2 linked regions of the Drosophila melanogaster genome follow. The protein of the gene in region 2 purifies or fractionates together with the protein of the main gene of each other region. This does not show direct contact. Each region holds a gene or a part of one and is shown on either strand. Other genes may lie near its edges. The genes, in order: Fas3 and vari.

Region 1 (5,210 bases), 2.5 Mb from region 2:
TGGTCGCTCGGACGCTTTTTTGTTGACCAGGTAGCAAAGCAAAAAGCCAAAATGAAACGATGTTATGAATATGAATGAGAGACGGAGGAGCTAGCCCTTCTCTGCGATTCCCATTGCAATTACCATAGGTAGAAAAAGAGTTGAAAATTATGTATGTCATGGGCGGGAGTGGGTGGTATGAATTGGATTGCCAAAAAACCAAAAGGAATAGATATAGGTGCAGTAGTCACAGTTCGCAGTAACAGTCACTGTCCGACGAGTCACATTTAGAAGCGGCAAACTGGGCAAACACTGCACGTATTTAATTCAATGCCTGGATCTTTTTTGTGACCATACCAGATGGCATATATGTATGTAGATATATGTATGTACAAAATATAGCATAGAACATGCCTCAATTGGTGGCCATTAAAATGCATAAATGCTGGACCGCTTTTTGTTCGCTCCTAGATGAGGCAGTCATAACTAAATACGTCACGACTGCAGCTCCTTTTGGCCATTTGAATTACTGTGAATGGTTTTTGGATGCAATGCCTTATTTACATGCTGCACATGTTGCAGTTCGTGTCTCCTTCATCCCTTTTTTATATCCTTGCACAAAGAGCGTCCATAAAATTGAATGGGAAGTTTGCAAAGGAAATTGTGGTTGATTTTTATGTGGGTTCTGGTCATATACATATATAGTTCCGAAAGTGGAGTATGCCATGGAGAGTTTATTTTTATTTAAAAAAAAGCGGATAGTTATCTCAAGGGGTAGTAATTTAAAGTTTAAGTACATTTGGAGAGTATCCAGAAACAGTGGCGATAAATAAATCGTTTGGCAATATTCGCATGTTAATAAACACTATTACCACAAGAAATTCAATTCCCATAGAATATTGTTAAATACTATTGAGACTCTTGTCCTTTTTTGCACGCTTAAGCGTATCCTTTGGGTCGGATAGTTAAATTTCCGGCCCATGCCCGTCTGAAAAAACGGTCCATGGTGCCATGGCCGGAGCTGCATTAAACATTTATAATTGCAAGACAACAGCCAGCCGGCAGTCAACTGATGCGATGTCTGCGATGCGTCAGTCCTATAAAAATGTAAAAGTATTCAGTGTGAAGTGGCAAAGCCCTGCTAGAAAAAGACGGCAACTGGACAGCGGAAAGAGATAGGGAGAAGGGTTGAACCTGCAGTGGATTTCCTGGTGTACTTTATTTTGGTTTTTTGTGTGCAGTTTTTGCATTTACATTTTCGTAAACCTTTGAAAGGTTCCAGGCAGGCTTAGCAACTGAATAAAACGCGGCTGTCTTAAAGTCACGTCATGTGGGTGGTTCTGTGGGGGGGGGGGTGGCTTTACCATTGGGCGGTTGAATCTGCCGAGGGGCTGTGGCAGTAATGAGGCAACTGCAAAAGCAACAGCTTCATGTGCCGTGTGTTGTGTTAATGTTGTTAGGCTTTGGCATAAACCAGCATCTTCTTTTCAGCTAATGAGAAATCTGTCTCAGTTTCCCCAGCTAGCTCTGCACCCATATATCCTTCTCGCTCTTCAAGGACGTAATAAGAGGGTACAATATAATAAGCACGGCTGAAACATTGAAGGATTTTAATTAAATAGAACCGACAGCGTTTTTGGGCCTTGATGATGGCATAGAATTTATATCCGCATTCGTACGTGGTACAAAGAGATGAAAGTAATGCTCAAGTGGATGCTGATGTTGTCTCCTAATTTCAAGGATGCATGCTGGCACAAGATGCGGCACTTAGAATAAATTAAAAAAGGAGCCAAATAAAGACTAATTACAGTGGAGCGAATATTGAGACGTATTACCATCTACAAGGTTTTTTTTAGATTCTACATTATTGGGGGCCAATGCTAAAATATGGAAACTAGTATTGATATAGTACAAAATTATATTCCAAGGCAAAATACATTTCAAAAACACATTATTGATCACAAGTCGGTTCCAATAAAGTACAACTATTAAACAGTCTAATACTGTCATAAAACCAAGCAAACCTCTTATGGGCACACAAAGCTATCAAACCCTATCACGTATGAACACAAAACCAAAGAAAATCCATTAAAACAGCTACTAAACCGATTAATTAAAATAAACGATCCGTGAATCATCTGCGGCGAAGATCTTTCGGGCAAGCCCAATTTGGTTGGACTCACCATAGAAGACCAAAGTGTAATTGACCTTTTCAACCTGTGCTGGCGCATGGCAAATGCCAGCTGTACCCCAAGATGCGAAAGGTCACACTTGGCACGGACACAGATTCAAAACAGCTTCGGTCACACTCTGAGCATGCGCAGTTGGAGCTATGGACCAAACCGGGTCAACCGCCAAAAGAGGAGGAACTATCAATTTCATGGATATTATGACAGGGAACTTTTCACTCAATCATCACTTTCATAAAGACAACACTTTCCACAGCCCCGCGGGGCGATGTCTTCTCATCAATCAAGTTTGCCGTTCAACAATGATATTTTTATACAGCTCGAGGTGAGAACACGTTTTTGGGTAGCATCTTTTTATTCATATACATAGGTATCTGAGAGTAAGCTAAACTTTTTCACACATTTGCGCGGGTCTTAAACGAGCGCGTGATATCATCTCATGAGCGCGACTTTGGCTTTACTTTCCTCTGAGCCGTTGTTTATTCTTACCTGTTAAGATGGCTGCGAGACATATAAAAACGATCCGTGACATGATTTTGCTGCTGACTTCCTTTGGCTTCGCGTATTTTTTCTACTGAGCGTGAGCGTATAAGTAATCCCGGTTTTGTTTTTTTGGGTTTCCTTATATGTGTGTATGAATTTTTTTTCTTGGTGTCACTCAGGCGTTTGGTTGCACTTGCTTTAGCTTTTCATGCATAAAATATACGGCCAAGTACGTTTTGGTGGCACTTTACGGCCGCTGAGGCTCTGGTTTATATTTTTTATGTGACGTGTGGGTGTGTGTGTGTGTTTTGGGGTGTGCAGTGTGTGTTTGGATGCTTTTTTAACTCCTCGCTATTATTTGTTATTTTCAAGGGGTATATCCGATCGGTTGGTTTGCGCTAATCGAAGATTATGCCACACTTGTAAACACACACGGTGGGCCAAATGCCAGTGGCAGCGATAGTGCTCAATGGCCGGCTAACGCACACGGACGCAGGTTTATACGATTCCGACACGAATAACGATATCAAATCCCGAAATGCCGAACCCAAAATGCCGAACGACCGATGTGCCCACGCAATCCAAGAGCGACAGAGAACGACTGATAGGAGCAACAGTTACCAAACGACTGAATCCGCTCCGTGTTTATAAAGTTGCCAACATGGGCAGCGCAGCGGCCGCGACGTCGGCGCCAGCTGCGGCAGCGACAGCGGCAGCATGCTGCGAACACCAGGCGTATGCGTTTTTACATATGCAGTCGCTGGGGTTGCATGTTGCCGCTGGATGTTGCTGGCGTTTGTCGATGTTGCGGCTGCATGTTGCTGCCGCTACATGCGCGACGAGCTAGCAGCATTGCTCGTTCTAGTTTACGCTTTACAGCGACTGTGTGTACAGGGTACTTTTAAATTACGGGGGTATATGGACTTGAACACACTACCTAAAAATAATGGTTTCAATTTATAGCAGCTGCAGTTTTTTATAATTTATTTTTACAATTATTATTTAGGTCACAGGGAATTGGGTGGGTGCTAGGAATTTATAATCTTTTAATCAACGTTTACCTAGCAAAACAGTCTTTGCAGTGTGCTCCACTAATAAATATGTATTTTGTTGCTTATAATTTAAAATGTAAAGTGAATTGTTGAAAATAACAAACTCATTAGAGCTTAGCCTGCATCTCCGGTTTTGATGACACATCTATTTAGGTGGAAAAATTTAGGTGACTAACGTGTTCTATTTTCCTTTGCGTCATAACTGGAGTTCAAATAAAGTTTCTTAGCATGGTGCTAATTTAAATATTATGAGTATGGGTTTGTACAGTATTTATTTACCTAATATCTACAAGTTAGAAGCCGTTAATAGGTCGTATTTGACCCACAAATGGATTGATTTATTCCTAATACCATTTTTTAATATCTAATGTTAAATAGATGAAAAGTACATTTAACAGTAGAATCAATGGCCCAAAGTTCCGAAAGCATGTTTTTTTTTAAACCGCGTGATAATTTGCTACGACCCAATTGGTTAAGGTTAGGCAAATCAATAAATATAAATTAGATGGACAAAGAAACATTATTTCGGATCGACATAAACATGTGTTGCAAGTAAATAGAATTTAAACGGGCACTCCATACAGTGTAATACTTTCTGCCGCCGCTGTTCTTGTTGTTTAGTTTGATTTGAATTTGTTTGGCTCTTGTGCATTGTGTTGTTGCAGCTTTCGCTCTTGTTGTTATTGCTGGTATTGTTGGTGTTGTTGTTGATTTGGCCAAGTTTGCTTTCAGGCTGTCGCCGTTGCTGCTGCAACTGCCGGATTTCTGTCTATTTGTCGTTTGATAATCTACCCCCTTGCCGGCCGCCTCCTTGGATTTCGCCGGCTTTTGTTTGCCTGTCGTGTTGTCGAATGGCACACATACAAATTCCGACCGAGAGCGAATCTTTGGCACAGTGGCTCCTCGTTCTGGTTGCCGATTCCCGTTCCCAGTTTCCCGCTCCCTCTTCCGCAAATATTCCGCTGTGTTTGCCACAGTTCCAGATCCCCAGAATCGCCCGCAATGGGACTGTGACCTGAAACCCACTTCGATTAGAATGATGTAAACGCAGGCTCGATTTATGGCGAGAACAGTAAATAGTAAGCTACGCAGTACTTAGGAAGTTTGTAATGGCTACCAAATAGAGCGATCGTACAGCTTACATAATAATTATAGAGCCTTACATATTGCTTTAACTAAATTATTGTACGAAATTACTTGTGTATCAATATTGAGATACAGTGTACTGTACCTGTGGAACTCTGAAATGCCGCATCGCCGGACAACTATAAGCTTGGAAATATTTAAAGTGACCCGTATTTTCGCACCCTCACCCTGTGCGATTTCCATTTTCGATTCATTGCCCCATAATGTATTTACTTCTGCATTATTACACTTGCCATCGTGCACTCCCTGTTTGCCCCCGAAAACCAGGCAGCAAATAGTATTATCAAACATTTTAAATTTAATCAAAGCACACACATTCAATAAGCCTGGGGCCATATTTGGACTATGAAAAGGTAAGCCA
Region 2 (5,191 bases):
GCTCAATTCCCAGCTGAGTCTGCCAATAGGTTGAGTGTTATTTTATATCAAAGGGCATTCAATATAAAACAATTCAAAACGTATCTGGGCATTTATATATTTAAAAACTGCGTTTATTTATGAGGTTTATATAAAGAAACAGTTTAAGAATAGAAAAATGTAATAAACTTCTGTTACCATGCCGACCATTTGGCACTCATTTAACCACTGTGCCTCTAAAATCAAGGACTCTCGATGGCTGAGCTAAATTTTTTGCACATTTGCGGGTTTCTTGCGCACAATGGTCAAAGGGGCGCGAATCAAACGGGGGCCTTGACTTTTGCACTTTTGGCGAATTTTTTTTACAGCAGGACATACAGCAAATCGGACGGAGGATAAAACAAGAACCAAAAAGAAAGATACAAGGCACAAATACCGAAAGACAAGTAACTCACCACGACGGGGGGTGTCGCCGGAGGTGAAGGTGGATAAACAGGAATTTCTGCCTGTTCTGTTTTGATTTTTCGCTATCTCTCTCTTTCGCTCAGCTGCTTCTGCTTCTTCGGTTTGTTTATGTGTAATCCTTTTGTTTCTTTCGATTTTGGCGCGCAATTTTCCTTTTTTTTATTGCTATTGTTTTAGTTGTTGCTAATTACTAATTTGCAATGCAATTTTTCAAAACACGCGAAGCCGTTTTGTTGTGGCCGTTGTTATTGTTGCGTTGGCCGTGTGATTGCGGTTATAGTTGTCGTTGCGTTGTTGTTGGTTGTTGCTAGTTGCTGTTGTTGCTTTTGCAACTTTTTCACAATTTGCATTTCACGTATTTTTGCAGCAGCTTCGACGACTTTGACTTTGTTGCACAAACACAGGCGGAAAAACGGCCACACACTAACGAACTGAAAACAACAAAACAATCCGAGGAAGCTGCTGGCGTCTCTTTTCCTTCGATTTTTTCCCAAGATTGCCAATCCGATTTTACTGCCTGATTTAGTGTACTTTCGCGAATCTATAGTTATTTCCGCAGCCAGTCATTCAAAAACGAAAATGTAAACGAAACAGTGGGTTTACATTAATATATCATCACATAAATATGGGTTTTTTTGAATCCCAAAAGCATCTCGTGTTACTTAGCGCGACAAATCGGTTTCCGACGTATACTCGTTCGCTGAGATGTTATTCCACAGTGGTATTTAATTTGTTTTTACTCTTCATGCGAGGAAAGCACCGTACGCGCACGCTGCTCAAAACGGAATGAAAACAAGAGCTGTCGCATCGTTTCAGCCGAAAAATACCGAAGCATGCTGAAACTTCGAAAAATACCGCAAGCGAGAAACGATGTTTTTTCATCTATGGCAAGTCGACGTCTATTACCCTTTCGATTAATAGAAATAAAATATTGCATATTTATTGAAGTAACGAAGTTTGTTGCATCCCAGAGTTTTGTTAAGGCATAAATAAAGTTCCATAAGCAATTTAAAGACTATTTAATTAAATTGATTTCTAATTGGCATATGAACGAACATTTATTGGTCGTCCAGTTTAGAGTACATATTTATGTACAAATCGAAGTAAATTTTTTATAATATTAACGCACGGTTTATCAATGGCACAAACCATCAGCGATTCCCAAGCCATCCATTTTTAGCTATGTTATAGCTATAGAAAAAGCAATCACAAGCAAAATTAAAGATAATAAACAATATTAAATTTAAATGGCCTGAGAACAGTGGAATGCATTTTTATGACAGGCTTTCGAACTCCGTACATAAAGTACATTTACCGTACCGACCCAACAAAGAAGTGGCGCCGATAAGCACAATATTTAAAAACCGATAGGCACACGTTATTTGACTTTTTGTCTGCAAAAGCTTTCTCGTTTTAAGGAGCTTTGATTTTGGCATCACCTGCAACAAAAGCGGTTTTCAGTTTAGTTAGCCTCTTTCTCACAAACAAGTCGGTTGTTTTTGCGCTGTTGGAGGAGTGAAATTCTTAGCCGCGCTATTGTTTTTGTTGTTTGCGTGGCGTTGTGTTTATAACAATAACAACAAGTGATTATCACTGGAAGACATGTTCTGTTCAAGTAGCTAAGCATATGGCTGGCTAAGAAAAAAAACACAAGGGTTATAACCCTTTTTTGGCCGAAATACGAGACTGTCCTCCGGGGTTACTTCATTCGGTCTGTTATTTTGGCCACCTCCCAGTTCCTTCAAAATGGTTCGGTGGAGCGCGCGGTCGCGGCGCCAAGCTCGCCAGGATAAAGTGGAGCTATTGGCCAGAAACAACAAAGTGAATGGCGAGGACGATACCTCCGATAACGGTACGTGCCAGGGGTGTCCTCAAAAGGAGAATTTTAAGCGAAGTTCATACGAAATTCCAAACTATCATTTTATTGTTGTTTCTTTTTCCTTTAAGGCTCTGTTAATAAAGTTTTAATTTTGAAGATTTCAGTTGTTTAAATAGTTAAAAGATTTACAAACTAAATATTTCAATTCATATTCAAAAAGTGAAACGAGACAAGAGTTATGTTGCATTTCAGTAAGCCTGCTTGAAGTAAATATAATGATTTGTACTCATAGCTAAGAATAATCTGAAACCTGTTTGAAGATATGCGGTCTTTAAATGTATTTACAATAAATCGATAACAAAGAATATGATTATAAAACGAAAAATCAGATGCATGTATATCTAAATATTTCCCTCTAGAATTCCATCATTGTATGAATTGTATGAATTGAAAAGGGTAGCATTAAGCTGCCAAAACGAATGTCATTTCATCTGTTTCCGATTGTCATTTAACGACTGCGATTAATCTAAAACACTTTCGCTCCGTTTTAGCCGCCTTTCGCAACTCGACTGACCTATCCGACCACGATGAGATCTTCCTCAAGGGATTGCTGCGTAGTAACTCCAACACGCCCCACAAGGAACTGATGGCAAGTAGACCAGAACATATAAACGTAAAAAGGCGAGAGAAAATATCTCTGTACAATTTCTGACCCACTTAAACGCCTTCGAGCATCTGCTCAATAAGAAAATTGCGCATACGGTTTTCCACCCATTTTCCATACCCAGCCACACACACGCACACACTTTCCACATTTGTGTTTACTTCATCGATGGCATTGCATGCTGATTTTTCGGTCTAGATAGAATTTTCCGGGCTGCTTGTATGTGCGTGTGTTTGCTTTTCTTATTACATCATTTTCCTTGCCTCCACAAGCGCCAAAAAGAAAAGAAAATCCTTCTGTATTTTAAAAGATTTTCTCGCTTTAGCCATGCACTGCAATTGTTTTTTTTTTTTTTTTTGACTTCGTAATGGCCCATTAGCACTTGCTATTTTATTTTTGCCTTCCTCTTTTGAGTTTTCGCACTAAACTTGACCTCTATTGCCTCGGCAGATGAGTTGCCTTTATGCAGATGGGAGGCATTTTATTAGATCATCGTGACATAACCATTGAAGTGGAAATTATCTTGACCCGACACATTTAGCGCCTCCTCGAAGGTTTCTTACGGTAAAAGAACTGCCAAAAAGTTTGTAGCCTAATCAAATTGTAAATATTATTTGCTGTTCCTGCGGCAAACACGCAGGTCAACTAGAAAAACAATGAGAGGCAGTTACAACCAAAATTAAAACGAATTTGTTGTGCTCTGTATACAAGAAAAATAACAAAATATTTTAATTAATTTTTAAAAATTAATTTTCAAAATTGAAGATGCCCTTTCTAAGATGTAAAGTTATTCTGTTGGCGAATAATAAAGAAGTGGGGAATTAAATAGTATGTAAAAAATAGGCGTAAAACAATGATTATTAAGACCCAAACTAGCAGTACGGAAAAGCCAAATACAACAAATATTATGGAAAGCGACATCGTGTGACGACGACCATAATTAGAATCCAACATTTTCCGAGGCATTTTCCTGGGCAGGCTCATTCGTTTGTGGTTTTCTGCTGTGGTCGGCGGCTGTTGAGAAAGGCAGTGAAAGTAATTAAGCCACGAGTCACGAGATAAGAAAATATGAAATGTCACTACCAGCTCCCCTGTTTTCCTTTCCCCAACTCGCCTGTCGTCACCGCTCCTTGGAACACTCCCCCATTTTATGCAGATTACATAAAACTCGACGCAAGTCGCCGTGCCAACTCTTTGACATCAACGCCCCAAAGAAGTTGTGTGTATTTGAGTGTGAATAAGGAAACCGGTTTGGAAACATTTTCCAACGTAAACACTACGCTTTTTATGCTACCTGCGCTCGAAAACGATGCACAAAAAGCGCCCAGCTCGTTGGCCTACTAATGCAGCTGTGGTCGGGAGATCGAAAAAGCTTGCTATAAGATGCTGTTAAGATCACTGAAGTAGTTGGTAAAAACATTGCAAAGCATGTTATAGCCAAACTTACTTATTTAAGGTTCTGTTTTACTGAACAAAGTATAAAGCTAGTTAAATAAATATGTTTCAGCAACATTTGAATTATAATATTTGGAAAGCTAAGATCAGATTATTTAATTTCAGTATAACATTTAACAGAACATTTTAATGTTGGTTATTGTTATATTTTAGATATACCCCAAGTATGTACATATTTGTATTTTAAAAAGTTTTCTACAGTTTCAAATGGTTTTCATTAACAGAAAGAGAGGGCGCGTCACTGCTGGTTTTAAGTCACTGTTAAGTACAAGCTAACATGTGGATAACAGACTGCGTACAGTTGTAACTTGGCTCACGCGGAGCTTTTTTCACGGCAAGCCAGCGGCAAGCGAACTGAGCAGCAAACAAAGCTAGCCCTAACTTGCTCACTAGCTCTCGCCGCTTGCTTCCATAGCTCGTGAGTCAGTTAGTTGCGAACAGTGCTAAGGTGAGGTTCACATTCCGGTTTGAAACGCGCGCTTCGTTGGTTTCGGCCCATTCGAATGAGTGAGCATTGGTGCCTGACTGTAGTATAGGTGTTTTCACGGTGGTGTTTGTGAGCGTGGCTTAAACGGGCGGCTTGAAACCGAAAAGCAACAGTTAGTTGGTGCTCTCTCTGCCCTCTCTCTTTCGAATTCAACAATGTTCATAAACCATTTTCCGTGTGAAAATTAATAAGCCCACTTCAGGTGCTAATTACGAATCGATCAATATTATTGTAAAAACGGAAAAACGAAAAACTGGAACAGTTATTAGTGTGTTGTGCTAGTGCCTTGGTAACCCCGCTGCATAAAGCTTTTCCGAGCTTG

The links.
Region 1: the proteins of vari (region 2) and Fas3 purify together in Drosophila melanogaster (affinity purification with western blotting, with the first as the bait; one study listed by BioGRID). This does not show direct contact.

Annotation. Positions count from the first base shown.
Region 1 is NT_033779.5:18,318,178-18,323,387, reverse strand, and holds the start of Fas3 (fasciclin 3), read right to left. Parts: upstream 3,287-5,210; 5' UTR 2,701-3,286; coding exon 2,658-2,700; intron 1-2,657. UniProt on the Drosophila melanogaster protein: Mediates cell adhesion in a Ca(2+)-independent manner. It plays a role in axon outgrowth, guidance and fasciculation of the developing nervous system. Function in neurons is essential for adult survival, and is important for climbing behavior and activity.
Region 2 is NT_033779.5:20,793,758-20,798,948, reverse strand, and holds the start of vari (varicose), read left to right. Parts: upstream 1-1,906; 5' UTR 1,907-2,190; coding exon 2,191-2,296; intron 2,297-2,814; coding exon 2,815-2,912; intron 2,913-3,693; exon of another isoform or gene 3,694-3,941; intron 3,942-4,010; exon of another isoform or gene 4,011-4,143; intron 4,144-4,802; exon of another isoform or gene 4,803-4,889; intron 4,890-5,191.